Arabidopsis thaliana: one gene and its partners. The protein of the gene in region 1 purifies or fractionates together with the protein of each later gene. This does not show direct contact. Each region holds a gene or a part of one and is shown on either strand. Other genes may lie near its edges. The genes, in order: AT3G53580, AT1G12230, AGD2 and hemf2.

Region 1 (4,935 bases):
CCGATAAAGTGAAGAAGTTGGCGGAATTAGCTTTATGGTGTTGTGAAGATAGACCAGAGACGAGACCACCAATGTCAAAAGTGGTGAAAGAACTTGAAGGTATTTGCCAATCTGTGCGAGAACCCGAAATGTTCTCAGAAACAACGAAATTACTCTGCTCCAAAACATCGCCGTCATCTTCTTCTGTACCCTCGCCATTGTCTTTACTTCCTGGAAGTAACTTGGACAGTGGCTTTTTCCACGCTGTAAAACCTCGTTGACAAATATTTGTGTGAGATAGGCTAACATCAGACTAATGAGAGTTGTGTTATTATACTTAGGAGATATTATGATACCAGTTATGTTGTCCTGATTCCTAACCATATAAGCTAATATCTATGCAGATATGGAAGCTAACCAATCTTATCATGTACATATGCGGTTTTGTATTCTCTCAAGTTTCATTTCTCTTGTCATTATGTGCAACCACGGCCATTGACAATGTCTGGTCTGGTGGAGAATCAGTGTAGAAGAGAGCTATATTCCGAGGAAAAGAAGATTTAAATTATGAACATAGATGCAGCAACAAATCAAAAGGTTTGGATACTCTGAAAACAATAAAAGTACATAAACAAAATCCATGAAACACAATCTAGCAGGACAGGTAAGAGCTTCACACGTTTGAATTAGAACACACAGACCCCAAAAGAACAACAACAGAGAGAGGAGAAGTCATCGACTGTGAAGGCCCATTAGAGCAGCGCTGATCCATAGAAAACAGCTTCTGCAGGACCCGTCATGTAGATATGGTTGTCTTCCTGTTTCCACTCTATCTCCAATGGTCCGCCCGGTAGATCCACCGTGCATTTCTGTTCCACCATAAACCAATACATATATGAGGAACTCAAGGTCACCACATGCAGCTAATCTCAGCTCATGACAATCTTTAAGCTCCAATGAATATCCAAGAAACATTTGTGTGAGAGTGAAGAACCAAAAAAAACGAATACAAGATTCTCCCACAAGAGACGAAGCGAACGAAAAGTACTTAGTAAAATCATAATCTCATCAATCGTCTACCAATCAAATCATCCAACCATTCAATGCAACATTCAGGTTTCATAAAAAATGCTTAAAAACTGCTAATCCAGTGTACCATTTTGCAAACTGTTATCTAGTTTTTTAAGTTCTGAAATTCCAAACTTACCCTGTCGGCTCGACCTTCAAGGACTGCTGCAACAACCAGAGCACAAGCTCCAGTTCCACAGGCCAAAGTTGCTCCTGCAGTTTTAAGTATGCGTAAGCATTAAGCATATAAGGATACAGAGACTGTTTATAATCAACTGAGAATTATATTCGAAGATTGGGGGGAATTTGCGGACCTGCTCCGCGCTCCCACACACGCATTTTCAAATGAGAACGTGATAAGACCTCAACAAATTCTGCGGATACACAGAAAGAACTGTAAGACAACTAAAGGGATATAAATCCAAATATAAGCGAGAAGTCTTGCTGTATCAGTCAATGGAAATCTGGATACATCTGCCGATGAATCTCCACTAACCTGTGTTAGTTCGAGCTGGGAACATTTCATGATGCTCGAACTTTGGACCAATCTCTGGTAAGTTCAAATCATCAACTTTCAGATTCTGGTTGACACAAACCAAAATTACAAATGATAAGAAATTCACGTGTAGACAAATAATATGATTAGAAGTCTAGTAACGAAACACGCACCGGTCCACCCTTTTTACCAAATGTGATACAGTGAGGATTGCCCATACTAACACACGTCACATTCCAGCTTACTCCATCAACAACTAGCTCTGCCTCAACAACAGCTTCACCTTTGTTCCCTGACAATTTCGTGGGCACATCTTGTGCTTTAAGAATCGGTGTCCCCATGTCAACCTTAACCTGTACCAATATCAATCACAAAAAATAAAAATCCAAACTTTACCTTACCCATCATCATGAATACGACTAAACCTAATATGAGACATCAATCCAAATGATCTACCTGTCCGTCATCTTGAATTTCTGGAACAATCAACCCGGCACCGGTATGTATTGTAAAACTACAAAAACAAATAAATAGACACTTAAGGTTACATCAAGCTTGACTAAACTCGGAACTCTCAAGTCTAAACAGATATTTCTCAATACAGATAGAGATACCTATGTTTTCCCTGCAAATTCTCAAGCTCAGCAATGAACCTAGCAAAGCATCGAACTCCATTGCCACACATCTACAAGAACAAAATCAAAAGCCAATGACTTCGAGCGCAACAACATATCACCAGACATTATCATCGAAAAGCCCCACCTCTGGTTCACTACCATCTGAATTGAAAATCCGCATTGCGTAATCAGTACCATTGACTCCTGGCATTGCAAAAATCACTCCATCGGCACCAACACCGAAGTTTCGATCACACAGCTTCGCCGCCTGTTCTTGAGTAATCTTAGGTTCCGATGAGTCTCTGTTATCGACCTACAAAATCCAATTCCAAAGACGAAAAATTTGAAAACATTTGTAAGAATTCGATACATTTCGGGTTAAATTACCAAATTGAGAATTCAACGGTGAACAAAAGTACCAAAATGAAGTCATTGCCGAGGCCATGGTATTTCACAAAGTGAAGAACTCCGGTTTCTTTTTTGTCTAGAAAACTCGCCGGAGAAAATTTCTCAGCTGTGACGGCGTCCATGGAAGCTGCTGCAGACACACGAAGGCTAGGGCTCTTAAAGCAATATTCTTTCTCAAAGAAACCAAACGAAAGAGAAGATACGGATCCTAGATTCCTGGAGAACGCATTCGACACTCTGCGCGATTGTGGCGCGACGGAGACAGTGCTAACGGCGGCTATCTCCATGGCTGCTTCAGATTATTTTTCTTGTTCAACGACTCTCCCGTCTCCTCCATATTAAAAGACTTTGGAGAAAACACCCCATTGTTCTGATATTAAATAACTGAACTCCACGTCGTTTTTATCCTCAACAGTAATAACATCATGTCGTTTCTTTAGTCAACATATATTTAATAAAGGCCTGACTAAAAAAGCCCATTAAGAACTTCCAGAGCCTCTGTCGCTCCTTCGCTGTTCTCTTCCTCAGGTTCTCTCTCTCTCTCTCATTTCAGTCTCTTTCGCTGTTAAATATTTTCTCCTGAGATTTTTTTCTTCAATTCCAATTCAGTGAGCATTTTTATTGTTTCTCCGATCTGAATTCCGGCGATCAAATTACGACAGCGACTAATTCAACGTTTTAAATTACTCTGTGTGAGAGAAATTTGCGGTTAGTTTATTAGCTACATTACTTCCACTTTTTTTAATATATTTTTCTGTTACTTTTCCCACCTTTTTTAGTTATCTTCTGGAGATAGATCCCCCCCAAATTGAAGATAACTAGGGTTTCGAATTTCGGAATCTTATTATCCCTCTAATTAGATTCGAAATTCAATCGCAATTCTCTCGCTGTTCATAATCTGGGTTTCTGAATTTCAGCTCTGGATTTGCATTTTTCTAATCCTTTATGCAAAGCAGTGTGTATCGTGATAAAGCTAGCTCGATCGCGATGATCTTAGAAACTCAGAGGAATGTTGAATTCCCTCATCGGATCGTTGATAAGCGTCCCAGGAAACGTCCCCGATTGACTTGGGATGCTGCTCCGCCTCTTCTTCCTCCTCCTCCTCCACCCACGGTAACGAATTGTCCACATATTGTATTGGTATCAATGGACTGTTCTTTTGTTGTTTTCATAAGATACTGCGAATTGTGTTAACTAGTAAGAAATTAAGATTTTTATTTGTGTGCTTGAGCTAAGTTTCAGCTGATGTGTTTTTTTCTTTCAGGTATTTCAACCTCCGTTGTACTATGGTCCGGAGTTTGCGAGTGGTTTAGTTCCCAATTTTGTTTACCCAAACATGTTCTATAATGGCCTTCCTCGTCAGGGCTCTCCTCCCTGGAGACCAGATGATAAAGACGGCCATTATGTCTTTGTTGTTGGGGATACTTTGACTCCACGATGTGAGTCTTATGTTACAGAGTCTTTCGACATCTTATCTGTTACGTTTCACAGACTTTATCATGGAGGTTTACATTGACATGCCTCTTCTATTGTGCGTGCAGATCAAATTCTCAGCAAAATGGGTGAAGGTTAGTCATCTCTTGCGAAAATGTTTATATAATCATTATGATTAGATTATTCTGTTTTTCAAAGTGTAGGAGAAATATGTTTATTTGGTCGCCAGTTATCTTAATCAATTGGATTGTATTTTGGCAGGTACATTTGGACAAGTATTGGAATGCTTTGATAATAAAAACAAAGAAGTCGTGGCAATCAAAGTTATACGGTCCATAAACAAGTATCGTGAAGCTGCCATGATCGAAATTGACGTGCTGCAGAGGCTTACAAGGCATGATGTCGGTGGTTCTCGGTAAGAATATTTCTTTCCTCTTACTATTTCTTCGCTAGTTTTAATTTTATTACATTTGGTATAAGCTTTTCAATTCCTTGCAGTTGTGTGCAAATACGGAATTGGTTTGACTATCGTAATCATATTTGTATTGTAAGTGCTGTTACCTTTATTTGACAAGTTTGAGGGGAAAATGCAATTTCTTCACGCCCAAATGTTATGTGAGTTAAAAGAACTTGCGCATGGGTTTAAATGGTTTCAACAGGTATTTGAGAAGCTTGGACCAAGCTTATATGATTTTCTCCGCAAAAACAGCTACCGTTCATTTCCCATTGATCTTGTTCGGGAGCTTGGCAGACAACTTTTGGAGTCTGTTGCATGTGTGTGGAATATTCTTGACCCATTCTTCTATATAGTAGTCCATTAGTGCCACAAATCATTTTTCTTAACTTTTTGATACAAGACTTAGGCGTTAATAGTTATTACTTAATGTTCTTTCGATAATGCAATTTCCATGGAATCCATATTGCTCAGACAGT
Region 2 (5,339 bases), on another chromosome or scaffold:
TAAATCGAGCTATATTTTAAAAAATAATCTAGGTATTTCATAATTATTGGTATGAACCCACAATAATTAATCACAAACAACATGTCGTCAAAGGAAAAACGCAATCACACAGGAAAAAAATGATTGAACTAAATTTCAATTATCTTTTTTTTTTGTCAACAACTAAATGTAAGACGTACGAATTTGTAAACATTAGAAGATAAGATTTATAACATGGTACGTTTCTGCTTGTGTGAAAATTACTAAATGACATTAAAGAAGGTGGATAGAGAAGTGACTAGACATCAGATAATGCATCTGACTGAGATTGATAAGTTTATGTTGATCCTCTTCATTGTCTTCATGATATTTATCATTTGGTACACATAAATTCCCAATTTTTTTTTTGGATTTAAACCGTCTTTCTCGCCCTAAAAAAACTCATCTTTTTATCATTTATCTTAGAATTTGTCAAACAAACAGTGTTTGGCCTATGTCCAACTTTTTTTTGTCTAAGAATTTTTTTATTTATTTTCAGTCCATAGTTAAATTTTTAGTTTAGTTTGAACTTTAATAGAACCCGATTGGTTTTACAAAAACAATCGGTTCAATTTTGGTTTATCGGTACAATCATGACTCAGAGATCTGAGAACCGACTAAGTCAATTACAGAGAAAAAAAGACCGAAGTTCAGACGAAACAACATGAAAAGGATTTGGTTTTAGACTTTTAGTCTTAAAACTAAAGTCTCTTATCTTGTAGCCCAAGTCTCAGACATGATGAACAACAAGCCACGAAAAAGATAAAGAGGGCAGGAAGATAAACAGGGTAGTGTTCAAGTAACATGGACACTTAGTTCTCTTATTGATACAGATCCTTATTGATGAAGAGAAAAGCTGTGTATTTAGACATTAGGAGGTGGCCAAATCTTCCCGAAAAGCTCTTCAACACGTTTCGCTTGGTTCGCATAACCTTCAACACCGGCTGATAAAAGCTCCACTGATGCAGGACCCATAGATGAAGCCAAGCTTAGCTGGTCCCATTTGACCAGCTAAACCAGAATCAAACAAACAGGGTGAGACACTGGTTTAGTGAAACCAGAAGCAAATGAGTGTTGGTTAGCTTCAGAACTAACCTCTTTGTTGGTGAAGTGGTAATGTGTTGCAGTTTCAGGAGTAAGTTTCCGAACAAATGAGTATTTTTCATCATCGGGAATGGCGGGTGAATCTTTAAGAGATTGCAGTACCTTTAATGGTGCAATGACATAATCGACCCTGAGATTGAAGAGAACATTGAAAGTTAGAATGTGATCAGAATCCATTGATGGTCGAAGCTATGATTTGGAAGTTTGAGTTTACCCGAGAAGACTGAACAAGTCTTGTTTGTTCCGGACAGCAGCAGCCATCAGCTTGGACTTGTAACCATACTTGTGAATGTAGTTATATGATCTTTTGACCAAGGCCAAACCAGGATCTTCTCCCGATTTAATAGCAGATTCAATCTCGGTATCTCCCGAATGATTACGCGCCCAATCCTAATGATTTTAAGATATTAACTTTGGCATATCACTGAAATCACTTAGCAGCATCTGTTTAAAAAATGGTTACCCTGAGGCGACCGACGAAAATCTGAATGACAGAAGCACCGGCTTGAGAAGCTGCTGCAGCTTGTGCAAAGCTGTTGATGAATGCAAAACGAAATTATAAAGTAAACAAATCAGATGGATAGACAATTCTAAAATAAAAGAGTCAAAAGGTATGTTTTATGGTACCTGTAAACAAAGGTCATATGCGTTTGGATTCCCTCTGATTCCAACAATCTTGCAGCTTCAATACCCTATGAGAGGGATAAGCACAATACTAAGAGACCAGTAAAAGGTAAAGCTTTGGTATTTGCTGAAAATAATCTTACTTGCCAAGTTGCAGGGATTTTGAATAGGAGCCGGTCGTGTGGTACATCGATTTCATTGTATAGTCTCAGCAGATCATGAACCTACACACATCATCACATCACAAGTTAGTGATTTGAAGATACAGGAGACATATAATCAAATTATCTTATATATATGGTGTAGTAACTACCTTGCGGATAATGCCATTTGTGTCATAAGCAAGACGTGCATCCACTTCAGTAGAAACTCGACCTGGAACGAGTTTGACAAGATCGCCACCTACGTTGACAATAGCCTGCACTTTTCTCATCAGTAATAAGGGCAAAAAAAGCTTTTAAGCAGCAAAGATCTGGAAGTGGAAAAACAGATAAGGGATAAGAAGATCAACCTTATTGAAAAAGCAAGAGAGTCGAGATTCTGTGGTTTCAAGCCCTGCACAAGAAGAATCCGCCAAAGCCATGTCCACAGCATTCTAATCATGATGTAAAAATGTCAAAATTAAATGAGCCCAAAACAAGAGATGTCATATACTATCATCTAAGAATCAAAACTCTTGAAATGCTTACGCGGAAAATGGTATCAGGTAGACCACAGATACCCAGAAGAAGAGCAGAGCTAACAGTAGCTGCAGTCGGCGGAAACCTGCAGATCAGTAAAATACAACAAAGGTATCAATCCAGCACAATTAGAAAACCAAAAGGTTATACTATCTGGTTTTCACAATAACTAAAGGTTAGAAGTTATACTTGTGAGGGAGTGAGTTTTTACATCTTAAGCTAATTTCTTTCTTGTATCCTCGATCCAGAGAAAAACTCAGTACAATCTCAAGTTAAGAATGTCTGACTCCATTTTTATGATATACCAGTGTAACTAAAGTCTCATGAAGTAGAGATATATATCATACCTCTCAAAGTCATCGAAAACGACAGTATCAGGAACAATCTCACTAAAAGCTGAAACAGCATTTAGCTCATTGTTCTCACCTGAAAAAAAAAACACAATTTCATCAAACAACTCAATGATCATCTAAAAGCATTCCAGAAGAAATAAAGTTGAGAACTTTAGGAAAACCGATATCATCCAAGAACAATGTTAAACACCAAATACACAATTTGTTTCTTCAAATTCAACCATAAATCAACACTGTTCAGCTAAGAACTAAAGCAACCAGAAGGTCCTGAACTAAGAAAGGTAAACCAAAAATAGCAACTTTGTCAAGCATAGTTTCCTAACAAGTGACTCAAGACAGTATAAAAACAAACCCACATAAAAAGAAAGCTTGAATCGTAGTCAATCTTTCAAAAACCCATACTTTTGTTTTGTCTTTCCAGAAATCGTATTTATTAATTAATGAGAAACACGATCATCAAAGATATAAACAAATACCAGCTTCGAGAGACGAAGACGCAGGAGAGGAGGAGGAACTAGCGGAAGCAAGAATCCGAGGAATCGATCGCCGAAGACTGAAGTTAACGGCGGGAAGAGGAGTAACGGAGAATCCGGCGGCGAGCGTCTTCCATCGTCCCTTCTGCGAAGTTCAAAGCTCGCATCCATTAGATAAAAAACAAACAATGCACAAATACATGCGATTGAAAGAAGTAAGCGAAGAGGAGAGTACTCGGATTGAAGCAGAGAGAGTTGCACAAGGCGGAGATTGCAACGAGAGTGGCATTTTTTTCGCTGAAGTTGATCTGAGTAAGCAGATCCAGCCGTTGATATCTTCCAATTAACGTGGGTCCCGCCTTTTCTAATTTATCCGAAAACTGTCAACGAGATAAGACAGTTAATTATTATTTTATTACAATGGTTAGGAACTTGCAAGTTTTTATTCATTTTCTCATGAGTCTCTGTGTAATGTTTCTATGAAGCCGAAACAAACACTCATCGTTTAGAGAAAGAGATAAGTACAAATCCAATGATCACTAACCAAAAGAACGATGAGAACGGTTATGCAAACAAGAAGAGACAAGGAAGAGATTTACACACCGGCAAATGTCTTTAGACCATGACAACAAAAGTTTGTAGAAGAAAGTGAAGTTCATTATGTTTCTCTCCACCGCCACCTGGATGAAGGTAAGAAACGGAGTTGAGTTGCTTGGTCCTCCCATTCAACCCTTTCTATCCATTCTCTCTCTCCATAATATATGACAAGTTCTTCACCCGCGATCCCACTTTTAGAATCCAATGGAAGCTTTCTCAGCTTTTCACATTTTTCTACGTGGATAACTTTCAGACACGGAAAATGCAGAGCCTTTGCATAGATTCTCTTGAGCCCGCGTAATTCAAACAGGTGTAGTGTCTCCAATTTCCTAAAAGGAACAATCGTAGCTGAATGCTCCTCAGCTTTCTCTTCACTAATTATATCCTCTACTTCCTTTGAGAACCCAACTTCAAGAAAAGTAAGATTAGGAGCAAACAAAAGCCACGTCAAATCCTTAAGACCATGGCATTTAGCTATAAAGACTCTGGAGAGGTTTGAGAAGCATGGAGTTGTGGGACTTTTGTTCCGAGACGATGATGAAGTTGTCCTCTCTATCTTTATCTCCCTCATTCCACATCTTTTTATCCCGAGCTTGCGGAGATTACCCATGGTTGGCAAAGTCAATACTCTCACTGATTCTTCCTTAAGGTACTTAAAATCTACCTCTTTTATACATTCCACCAACCTTTGAGAGCATAACAATGGCTCTGCAACCAAACTTGATGATATATCTAGGGTTATAACTTCTAGATGTTCTAAGAGCTGCAGCTCCTTCACTAAACTCATATCTAGCAACAGTCTGGAATCTCGTAGTCCCAATGTCCTCAAATTCCACAAATTTGATATCCCTAATATACTCCCAAGACTGCTCATGTGTTCGAGATTCAGATGTATTAGCTTTTTCAATGTCCATAAACCAACGGGTAGTTGATGTATACATGTATATGACAAGTTGAAATATCTCAAAGAGGCCAGCTCTGATATTTCTTCTGGTAATTCATTAAGACTCTGATTCTCTGATAGATCTAAAACCACCAGATGAGGCATACATCGAAAGAATTCAGCCGAGATCTTTACCACGTCGTTCTTTTGGAGAAATAGAGTTGTAAGTGCAGCACACTCGTGACTGTCAAATATCTCTTCAATCTCATTATTCATCAAAGAAATCTTTCTCACAGTGTTCCAATCCTTGACTTTTGGTACTTCACGTAACCCAACACCAGCTCGCACAATACATTTCTCCTTTTGCTTCCCAAGATCGGATGATATCCATAGAGCCATCTCACGAACCACATCATGCATTTTCACGTTTGATTTGTTCCTTTCTTCCTCCAACAACAAACATGCACGGACAAGGGTACCAATTATCTCATAACCTTGGTTAATATTCCTCTCTCTGCCTTCTTTTTCATTTATGAATCCCTCACTTATCCAGTAGTCTACCAACCCCTCTTTATCAATAAGATAGTCTTCAGGAAACAGAGAGCAA
Region 3 (5,553 bases), on another chromosome or scaffold:
ACCTTCCAATAAAAATTTTGACTTTAACGATTAAATTAGTCTCAACATTCAGAGAATCAGCAATTAGTATTGAAGAATCAGTAATCTTTAGAAAATATAAAAGAAGAAGAAGTGCTTACGGGGAGGTGTCGAAGAAGTTGATACCGAGACGGAAAGCCTCGCGCACGGTGGCGACGGCATCATCTTCGGCGACTGGACCGAAGACACTTCCGAGCGGAGAGGCACCAAAACCAACGGCGCTAACCTTAAGCCCTGTGTTCCCCAAAGCTCGAAGCTCTATTTTCGTCATTGTTGATAGGATCAACAAAAAAACTGGTTCTCGTTGATGAGAGACGCGAGAAGACAACACTTGTGTTGTGTTTTTGGATATTTTTGCCCACACGGTGGCTCAACAAGCCTAAATTACGAAAACACCCATCCCGGTCCAATTTTAGATTTATTTAACCAATCCAATTTTATATTTTTTTGACGTTCTTCCTCAGTCCAATTTAAATATTTTATTTTCCACACTAGTTCACTTATTTGCACTTTGATTTCGTTGTTAAAATACTTTGCCAAATTGCTTGAAACACTGGTGTCAAAAGTGTCTTCTACAAATTCCAGAAAACAATGGAAACGACATTATTTTAACTCAAATCATGTCATTAAAGAGGGTGATGATGATGAGGAACGATTACAAACAAGGTTCTTCATTTGTAAAGCTGCTTGAATCTTCGACATGCCTCTAAGATGTTCTCTCTGTGACCAAAGGCACTGACACGAACGAACCCTTCACCCCCTGGTCCAAACCCACTTCCTGGAGTTGTAACCACATGAGTCTTCTCCAGAATCTCAGCAAACACATCCCATGAGCTTTGGTTCGGGAAGTGAACCCATACGTAAGGCGCATTCTTTCCTCCATATACATCATACCCGAGAGATGTGAATGTGTCAATGATTATGTTTGTGTTTTCTTTATAGAATCCAATCACCTTATGCATTGCCTGCAATGATTCAAAAGACAACAAAATAAATCATTTTGCATATCTGAACTAGTGGGAACTGGTTTGAGATCTCTCTTTAGCTAAGCTAACCTCAAGTCCTTCGGGTGTAAGGCAAGCAAGAGCACCAGCTTGAGAGATATTAGATGCACCATTGAAACAAGTGCAGATAATCCGATTGAAGTCTTTGGCAACAGGGAAACCGTCTGAATAGAGTAGCTTTTTCGGGATGACAGTCCAACCAAGTCGAACTCCAGTGAAACCAGCATATTTGCTGAACGAAGCTGTCTCCATAGCGACCTGTAAGCGGTTGTACACATGAAGAAAGATGTTGAAAAATGGACCTTTTAATGTTATAATCAATCAGTCTATTACCTCCTCTGCTCCAGGGATTTCGAAGATGGATCGTGGGTTATCATCAGACATGTACATTGCATAGGCGGAATCATACACTATTATAGAACCGTTCTTCTTTGCAAACTCAACTAACTGCGTTAGTTGCTCTCTCGTGGCAGCAGCACCCGTAGGGTTATTTGGGGAACAGAAGAAAATTATATCTGTCCTGCCAACGGTGGACAAGTCGGGAAAGAAGCCATTCTCTGGAGTGCATCTCATGTACTCGATGTTTCCATACTTTTGCACATCAGTGTTAAATTGCCCAGTCTGACCCATAATAACACTGGAGTCCACATAAGCCTGTATAATCCAAAAAAAACGAGACAGCATAGTTCCACGTTAAAATGGAGCAAAAGTAGAGAAGACTACAACTGCAATTTGGTTTCTATATGCCCAATTACCGGATATGAAGGATCCTGAACAGCAATTGTAACATTGGAACCAAACATAACCTGCAAGAAGTGGAATCAAGAAACAGCTGTTCATATTTCTTAATCTTGTATCAATTACAGATGAATAGTCAGCAATAAAACAAACCTGGAGACGTGAGATATCACATTTAGCTCCATCAGAAACAAAAACGTCATCATCCCCTATGCCAAGGCCACCGTAGAATGTTTTCGCAATAGCAGCTCTCAGTGGCTTTTCACATATGTGAAATCAAGGTTAGTTTGGATAAAAACTTAACAGATTAAGCTTTAAGATTTTACATGTAAGAAACAGGTTTAAATCCATCTTCTCTTGAATTTAGCAGCAGTTCAAGACTATCCATAATAAAATTGAAGTGACGTGCAAAGGCAGATAATAAAGAAATGATAACAACGCAATAAGGTGGAAATGAAGGGTGCACTGACCTTTGCACCTTGTTCAGCACCATAACCACTATATCCCTCTATTGTTGACAACTCATGAGCTTTCTGTCAGAGAAAAAAAACATGATTAATCTCTAGAGATTACATGCCTGTGTGAATAGTATAGCAAACAAAAAAACTATGCTACCAGAATAATTTTCATTGTTAGATTACAGAGAAGTTCTCGTTTAATAATCCAAATACGCCAAAACAGAAAATATGTTATACATTTTTGTCAAAATGAACGAAATAATACATGTTAGGGCAGTGTTAGTAAAATCAGTTTAAAATATGCTAGAGCCCAGAGAAGGGCAAAGAGCACATGAAGCTAAGTTAAGATAAGGAGGTACCTTTGCCATAGCAGAAGTGATCACTTCAGGAATTGGCTCAGTTGTGTCGCCTATTCCAAGACTTATAACTTGTGCATCTGGATATTTCAACAAGTGTGCAGACCTTCTTCTTGCAATCTGTTTGCATCCACACAAAAAAATAAGAGAGAGGAGCATTATATACAGAATCAATGAGGATATATTAACTTATTACACAGATAGTTATAATATTTCAGATCACTAGAAGCTTTCAAAAATGTTAACTTGAAATGCCACTCCTTTAGGTATTTGAAATCTTAAATAGTAGTACCAAGAGAGTAACAGGTAACAAACCTCCGGGAATAGGTATCCAGCCTGAAGTTTGGACATGTTTGAATTCCGTGACACTTTGGTCTTATACTCTACATACAGAAAACAAAATCATGTATTGTAAGAAACAGATAAACAGCTAAAAGACGATAAATCATTAACTATGTTACTAATCATTACAGCAAAAACAACATGGAGTAGGAACATTACCGATCTTCTCTTGCGGCGTAGCAACACATTTGCAAGTATTGACCCGTTTTGCCATGGGTAAGCAAGCATTTCGAGTTCTGAAGCCAAAAAGGAAAGCAAACCAATAAAAAAATGAATCAATGATCATCACAAGCAAATGCACTGTTCTCTGGCCAAACAACACCATCCAACATCGACTTAAAAACCAAAGGATTGAAATTTCCAAGTAAATTCATAACATACAATTAATTTCTGGAAATGAATCCAATTTCATATTCATCCTCACTAGATTATATCAGTAGCAAACAGAGAGTAAAAGAAAACAAAACGACGCACCTGAGATTAAAATTTGAAGGGGCTAAGAAAGTGGATGAGGAAGAAGAGATCATCGAAGAAACTAACTGATGGGTCGACGACATTTTTCCTGCTTCGCACAAAGATTTTTTCAGACAAATTTGCAGAGCAAATGAACCATGGGAGATAGTTGGTGAGACTGATAAAACTAGGGTTCTTCTTCGGTTTGGTCTGAGAGGAAATTAATCCGGTTTGTTCCGGTTCGGTTTTACTAGAAATTTTTGGGAATTTTCCAATTCAGTTCAATTTATTTATTTCTCTCTCTGGCTCGGACAATGATTTTGCTCTGCGCCTGCTGGAAAACGCCGAGGAATCGCACGATTTCGTGAAGCTGCTACTAGATATCTGTATCTGAGTCAATTCGATTTCGTGGTAATTAATCTCGACCAATAGGGTTCTCCAAAAATCCCCTTTTCGATTGTTGTGTGTTTACGTAATTTTGTTTGTTTTGCTTCGTTGATTTCGTTGTCGAAAGAACGTAGCTTTAGTGGAAGTTCTGTGATTAAGAAGCAATGATTTAGATAGCTGTAGTGGTCGAATTAAGTTCAACTCCATCTTTGTTTGATCTACCCAGATTGATTTGATCACATAACTTGATTAGGCTTATACTTTTTTGTTTTACCTTGGAGTAGATGGATCTGGAAACTGAAAATCGAATAGCTTCCATTCTTTTAAGAGAAGCAGCAGAATTGAGGAGACAAGCTGAGAAAGATGGCGTCAGAGCATATCTTGAGAAGCCTAATGTAAGGCATCGACCTAACTCTAGATTTCTCACTGCTACAGTTCTTGGTGTTCAGCAAGGTATAATCTTTTGTTGACAGACTTTGCTTCTATCCAACAAAATCTAGTTTTTTTTTAGTTTATCTCTTATTTGTTTCTTCTTTATTCCATTCAGCAAACAAAGCTGTGGAAACCAATGAGATGTGGAGTCTTCGGAGTAAAGAGATTGAGTTTGGTGAAAGGCTCAAAAGAAAATCAAGAGATGAGAGCAGCAATGGTCAAAGTGAGCAGAACAATAGGAGGGATTTTTTAAAGAGATGTACTTCAGTTGATGAGAATGTTACTACTACTAGTTTATCACCATCATCAAGCCGGAGCAGAAGCAAAAGATGGCAATCAGAGGATGATGATGATGAAGGCTTAGGAGATGTCGAGGTTAAGACTTTTCTCCAATCAAGGTATTTCCATTATACTCAGATGCTGCCTGATTATTTCCTTTACAATAATGATCGAATTTGGGATCGGCTTTTGCTGATAAAACTTGTGATTCTGGTCTATGATAGGGTCAAGCGTGGCAGAGGTTCTGTTGGTGCTATGATGGATGAACCGCTACCCTGTCTTCCTGAGAGGGAATTGTCAAGAACTTCTGATACAGGAGATCGGAAGCTAGTGATTCAGCCAGAGCGATCACCTTTATTGAGACGTAGGACAGATTCTTCTTCTTCCGACGAGGAGGAAGTTTACAAACGGGCTCATAGAAAGAGAAAGGAGCATAAGAAGAAACTTAGTAAGAAACACAAGTCAAAAGAGAAGAAAAGGGATAGGAAGAAGAGAAAATATGGTAGGGACTAGATCTTTCCGGACAAAAGTAATTGCCTTTTTACACCGGCAGTGATGTTGTATCCATAAGATGATCATATTTCATTAATTCTTGTATTAGTAAAATGCGAATAAAAACTCTTTGAAGTAAGGTAGAGAGTGACATATCTTAGAGACTAATGATATATAGGTAGTAGAGACAACTATTGGTGTGGCCTATGAGGGTTCAGATTTGGTAAAACTCTTTGAAGAAAGGAGAGAGCGACATATCTTAGAGACCAATGATATATATATAGAGAGAAAACATCTTGAAACCATAGAAAAAGTTGTTGTTCATGCCTACATTGATACACATTCGCCGGACAAGTGACAGTTTGAAAGTTGAAAACAAAGACTAAAGTTTTCGACATTCATAACCAGTTCAGTGGTCATGCACTCTGTGTTAGGAGTCTTCAAAATGGTGATCAGTTTCGTCAAAGATCTCCTCCTGCAACCACAAGCCAAGCAATAATTAATCCGTGAAAAAGAATTTTTGTTTTTAACTTATATAAGATTCCTTACCTGCAGAAGTTCTTCAATGACATCCTCCATCGTAATGATTCCGAC
Region 4 (4,490 bases), on another chromosome or scaffold:
TCTGGCTTTGGTTTTTAGTAAATTTAAAAACATTGGCAAGTTGTGTTGTGTAAGGTAAGCCATAATAACAACACCCATGTATTATTTGTGTGTGTGTGTGTATATCCGGGGACTAAATTGTTTCTTTGTCCCCATTGGACGACATCGAAGAAAAAATATCACGGGCGTTTCTTGTATCAAGACAAATGAGACAGTGACGTTTACTTAATCCGAAATTGTTTAACCTAACACAAGTCCCACTCGTTGAAACTTGGAAACGATTTTTATACTAAACCAAATCATCAGATTCAATGTTATCACTCTATTTGAGTGTTGTTGTGTTCTGTCTAGTGAACAGTTACCGAGCAAGTGGCATGCGTGCGTGCACCGAGAGGCTCGGCTATTTGAGCCAACGGCTCTTATTTTTACTGTGTCAGTAAAAAAAATTAAAAGTTAATTACTTTTATCATCATCATCACGATTGGTACTATATACTCCATCATCAACCATCATGATCTTTGTTTGTCAGTGACTCATGATGAGATGACGCCAAATTACAATTTCTTTATCTCACTCACTTTTCATTAGACTCTTTACTCTTTTAAGGCTTTTAAAGACAAAACTAATAAAAGAGCTAATTGGGGAAATAACCACAATTAATTAACTAAAGCCACTCTTTTGGATTGATACAAGCATCTAATAGTTTCCATTCCTCAGTTCCTTCTTCAGGTTTCTGCATCCGCAACAAGAGACAAACACCATCAGTAGTTAAGTTTCATTAGCTAAGATGAAACAAGATTTAGTTTCTTGAATCAAGAAACTTTACATGGTCATATTCTCATCTCGCAGATAGCGGAAGAGAGACAAGGATACTCTCTATTCGTCCTCCAGTCTTCAGACCAAATGTTGTTCCGCGGTCATACACCTTTATTTTTACCATCAGCAACAAAACATGAGACGAGGTTTCAAGAGATATTTATACAGAAAGAAAAACAAAGCTAGTAGTATCCAATTACGAAGTTGAATTCAACATATCTGCCCCTTCGCAGCTGTTGCCATGCCTTGTGTTGCTCGTTAAATGGTGTGTCTTTACGTTTCTCTACTATGGGTATAGAAGCTGGTATCACTGAGCTTGCACATTCTGCAAAATTCATCTCAGTATTCAAATAAGTCAACTAGGAAGTTTCTTAAAACAAAATGTCACAAGTTATATCTTGGTCACTACCAGTGGCGAATGACAGAAGCATCTCTTGATCATAGTCATTCAAATCATCAAAAAATATCCCTCCAAGCCCTCGCCTCTCATCACGGTGCTGCAGGCAAGACCGTAAAGTTTTTAGTGTTTTCAAATCCTAGGCGACAACTTATCACTGTATCAACCTAAACAAAACCTTGAGGCTCTAAATCTATTCTTGCACATACATGACTCTAAAACTAAGGTCTTTTAGTTCCACAAAGTGCTAAGATCTCACCAAACAATCAGAATAGCGTTAAAGGAACTGCAGACCTTAATGTAAAAGTAGTCATCACACCATTTCTTAAACCAAGGGTAGAACGACGGATCAAATTTATCGCAGGCTTGCTTTTAAACCTACACAAAGAAAGATATTTCAATCAGCATCTCCATAATCACAAAGCTTCAAACTTTCAGAACAATGGATCAGGTTTAACGACCGAATGAAAGTGCTTGACGTCTTCTTCAAAGATGTAAGCAGGTGTGAAGTCAGTCCCACCACCGAACCACCATTGCCTCGGAGCTCCAGGAACATCTACAAGTGATGAAATCAAATGCTTCATCCAACCAAAAAATTGGAACTTTACACTTCTCAAAGAGGATTAAGGTCTTACCCTTTGGAGCATCGGTCTCGAAATAGCGGTAATTGAAATGCAGAGTCGGAGCAAAAGGGTTCTGAGGATGCAAAACCTAGAATGTAGGATCAAGCTCAATCAAAGAACTCAGAGACCATATCAACAGCAATGTCGACTGATAGAGAGAGAGAGAGAGAACTCACCGAGCTGGTTCCAGCGGCAAAGAACGGAATCGGACCAGGTTTTTGCTCAGACGTGGCAGCTTTAGCAGCTCTATAAGCTTCAGGAGGCATAACACCATAAATCACAGAGACATTAACTCCAGCTTTCTCCCATACATTTCCGTCTTGCAAAATACGACTGATTCCACCACCTCCACCGGGTCGAGACCAAACATCTTCCTTGAATTTAGGACCTTCTTCGACTGCTTCAATGGCTTCACAGACTTTATCTTGAGCAGTTCTTATCATTTTCTCGAAACGAGCCCTAACCGAATAAGAAGAAGATTGAGTTTGATCGCCGTCGGAGACTCTGAGGAAAGTGAAAGGTCTTTCTGTTTCCGGAACTTCTTTCTCGATTGAGACTGAGCATCGCAAGTCGAAATGTGGTCTCTTTACGGAACGAGGAAAGTGGTAAGTGAAGTAATTCGGAGAAGATTTGAGACGATGAGAAGAGAAGAGAATGAAGGAAGAAGGAGAAGTGAAGAGAGTCGAAGAGTGAGACGCCATTTTCAGCGATCGATCGAATCCAAGTTTTCACCTTTTTGCTGAAGATAGAAGATGATAAGGAATCGTCAAAGCTCTGTTTTTTTAACCAAACCAAACCCGGTTATTTCCGGTTTAGTTCAACCAAAAAACCTCATACTCGGTTTAGTTCTCTTCTTTATTTATCTACTCTGTAAGACTGTAACAGAGAGAACAACGTTGATCTGTTCCTTACAGTACAAGCAACTATTAAACATGGAATGATCTTTGTTTACTTGGAAAGCAAGCGAGTGAGAGAAGAAGAGTCAAAGACAGGAGGACTGCAAGTGAAGTGTTGACAAACAAGAGCCACCACTTTCTCTGAGTTTCTGTTCTTCTTAGCCATCTCAGCTACATTACTGTTATGCTCTTCCCAAAACTCGATTTCATCAGAACTAGAGGGATCTATGTGAATCACCTGCTCAGTAAAACCACCAAAAGTCACAAATCTTGAATCTAGAAATTTGGATAATTTTTTAAGCTCTTACCGTTTTATTAGGATCATAGACTGAATGTGCTGCAGAAAGCATGTTGGTAAGCTCTGGGGAAGACTTAGAACCAACCAATACAACTTGTTTCCTCGACGGAACAGAGATCATATCTGCGGAGCAGCACATTAATGGCACAGCCACCGCCAGTTCTCTTAACCTCAACTCAAAGACTGCCTGCAAAAACAACAACAAAGAGACTCAATAATCTCTTTCTATGAATAGCAAATGGGATTAGTTGTTTGTTTGTTTACCAGGAGACGATGTGCCGTGTTGAGGTAGGATTCAGCTTTTTCTCCGGCGACTATGGAAGCTAACCTCACAAGATTGATAGCAGAAACAGAGTTCCCTGAAGGTTCTGCACCATCATGATCTTCTTTTACACGAAGAAGAACCGATGGGTCTTGTCCTTCAGTATTGAAGTATGCTCCTCCTTCTCGGTCCAGATATAACTCATCCTAAAATGTTTTTAACTTTTTTAGCCAAAATCAAGAACTTTAACAAATCGAGCTAGTAAAGATCTCACTTGCCTGTGTTTCTTGAAGTTTAATCGCCCACTTAAGCCATTCGATCCCACCTCCATTCTCGTAAAGATCGAGTAAACCAGAGATCAAGAAAGCATAATCGTCTAAGAAGGCAGGAGCTTTGGATGGCCCCTGTCTGTAACTGTGTTGTAATCTGCGAGACTGCTCATCATAGAGATTTCCTCTGATAAACAAAGCTGCTTTCTCTGCAACCTCTATGTAATCCTCTGGCTGAAAAATGAGTCTTCTAATTACAAAACGGTCAAAGAAGAAATTAAAGGAAAGGGTGTAGCATTCATTACCTGACTATTCACCACAGGGAAATAATATTTGGTGCTTTCAGGCTCAGCCTTAAGAATCTTGGAAGCTCTTGCGAAAGACGAGATAACAAGACCGTTCCAAGACACGATTATCTATGAAAGAAATCTTAAATGGTTAACAAATCTGAAGAAACAGTAGAGAAGACAACATGAGAATTCCAAGAAGAGTATTACCTTATCATCTAGATGCGGCTTAGGTCGCTTCAATCTGACATCGAAAAGCTTTCTTCGGCATTCACCTAATATCTCCTGATACTTCTCAACAGAGAGGCTAAACTTTGATGCCATAGCAGACGTCTCATTTCTTTCGATCAGCACGTTCTTCCCAGCAAATTCATTGTGCGGGTCACTCCTGCTCGAAAGATCGCAGTTACCTGATTTCTTAACATAATAATGCTCCTTGAAAAGATCAGCATTCTCCCCGAGGACTTCATCAATCTTGAAACCAAACACACACGCAAAACAAATGTCAGTATGCAGAGGGAAACCAGAGTCAGCTCATGAATATATCATATATCAGAGAAAAGAACCTCATCGCTTGTCCATATATAGAAAGCTCCTTCTTTCTTTCTCTTTGCCCCCTCGAACTCAAAGCTATCGGCATCTTCAGCTGAGAATATTCCACCT

Evidence for each region.
Region 2: the proteins of AT3G53580 (region 1) and AT1G12230 fractionate together in Arabidopsis thaliana (co-fractionation; one large-scale study listed by BioGRID). This does not show direct contact.
Region 3: the proteins of AT3G53580 (region 1) and AGD2 fractionate together in Arabidopsis thaliana (co-fractionation; one large-scale study listed by BioGRID). This does not show direct contact.
Region 4: the proteins of AT3G53580 (region 1) and hemf2 fractionate together in Arabidopsis thaliana (co-fractionation; one large-scale study listed by BioGRID). This does not show direct contact.

The regions. Positions count from the first base shown.
Region 1 is NC_003074.8:19,862,704-19,867,638, reverse strand, and holds AT3G53580 (diaminopimelate epimerase family protein), read right to left. Parts: upstream 3,009-4,935; 5' UTR 2,856-3,008; coding exon 2,580-2,855; intron 2,474-2,579; coding exon 2,306-2,473; intron 2,229-2,305; coding exon 2,158-2,228; intron 2,058-2,157; coding exon 2,000-2,057; intron 1,897-1,999; coding exon 1,717-1,896; intron 1,629-1,716; coding exon 1,544-1,628; intron 1,422-1,543; coding exon 1,362-1,421; intron 1,261-1,361; coding exon 1,187-1,260; intron 849-1,186; coding exon 732-848; 3' UTR 505-731; downstream 1-504. Other genes in the region: AT3G53590 (LRR receptor-like Serine/Threonine-kinase), read left to right, coding at 1-260; FC1 (serine/threonine-protein kinase AFC1), read left to right, coding at 3,514-3,681, 3,833-4,007, 4,110-4,136, 4,264-4,417, 4,501-4,549, 4,662-4,776.
Region 2 is NC_003070.9:4,146,252-4,151,590, reverse strand, and holds AT1G12230 (Aldolase superfamily protein), read right to left. Parts: upstream 3,630-5,339; 5' UTR 3,542-3,629; coding exon 3,488-3,541; intron 3,398-3,487; coding exon 3,256-3,397; intron 2,853-3,255; coding exon 2,774-2,852; intron 2,682-2,773; coding exon 2,616-2,681; intron 2,512-2,615; coding exon 2,436-2,511; intron 2,342-2,435; coding exon 2,258-2,341; intron 2,165-2,257; coding exon 2,060-2,164; intron 1,971-2,059; coding exon 1,890-1,970; intron 1,815-1,889; coding exon 1,750-1,814; intron 1,656-1,749; coding exon 1,586-1,655; intron 1,513-1,585; coding exon 1,337-1,512; intron 1,253-1,336; coding exon 1,114-1,252; intron 1,030-1,113; coding exon 883-1,029; 3' UTR 535-882; downstream 1-534. Other genes in the region: RPS5 (Disease resistance protein (CC-NBS-LRR class) family), read right to left, coding at 3,911-5,339.
Region 3 is NC_003075.7:16,171,158-16,176,710, forward strand, and holds AGD2 (Pyridoxal phosphate (PLP)-dependent transferases superfamily protein), read right to left. Parts: upstream 3,567-5,553; 5' UTR 3,474-3,566; coding exon 3,391-3,473; intron 3,153-3,390; coding exon 3,076-3,152; intron 2,958-3,075; coding exon 2,890-2,957; intron 2,695-2,889; coding exon 2,578-2,694; intron 2,294-2,577; coding exon 2,231-2,293; intron 2,019-2,230; coding exon 1,914-2,018; intron 1,829-1,913; coding exon 1,778-1,828; intron 1,677-1,777; coding exon 1,356-1,676; intron 1,281-1,355; coding exon 1,074-1,280; intron 984-1,073; coding exon 690-983; 3' UTR 524-689; downstream 1-523. Other genes in the region: AT4G33670 (NAD(P)-linked oxidoreductase superfamily protein), read right to left, coding at 120-289; AT4G33690 (G patch domain protein), read left to right, coding at 4,041-4,209, 4,304-4,586, 4,692-4,980; AT4G33700 (CBS domain protein (DUF21)), read right to left, coding at 5,390-5,434, 5,509-5,553. UniProt on the Arabidopsis thaliana protein: Required for lysine biosynthesis. Catalyzes the direct conversion of tetrahydrodipicolinate to LL-diaminopimelate, a reaction that requires three enzymes in E.coli. Not active with meso-diaminopimelate, lysine or ornithine as substrates.
Region 4 is NC_003075.7:1,410,840-1,415,329, reverse strand, and holds hemf2 (Coproporphyrinogen III oxidase), read right to left. Parts: upstream 2,546-4,490; 5' UTR 2,517-2,545; coding exon 1,992-2,516; intron 1,904-1,991; coding exon 1,828-1,903; intron 1,749-1,827; coding exon 1,627-1,748; 3' UTR 1,571-1,626; coding exon of another isoform or gene 1,565-1,570; 3' UTR 806-1,564; intron 713-805; 3' UTR 548-712; downstream 1-547. Other genes in the region: AT4G03200 (catalytics), read right to left, coding at 2,764-2,949, 3,020-3,196, 3,274-3,477, 3,550-3,774, 3,846-3,956, 4,038-4,301, 4,394-4,490. UniProt on the Arabidopsis thaliana protein: Key enzyme in heme biosynthesis. Catalyzes the oxidative decarboxylation of propionic acid side chains of rings A and B of coproporphyrinogen III.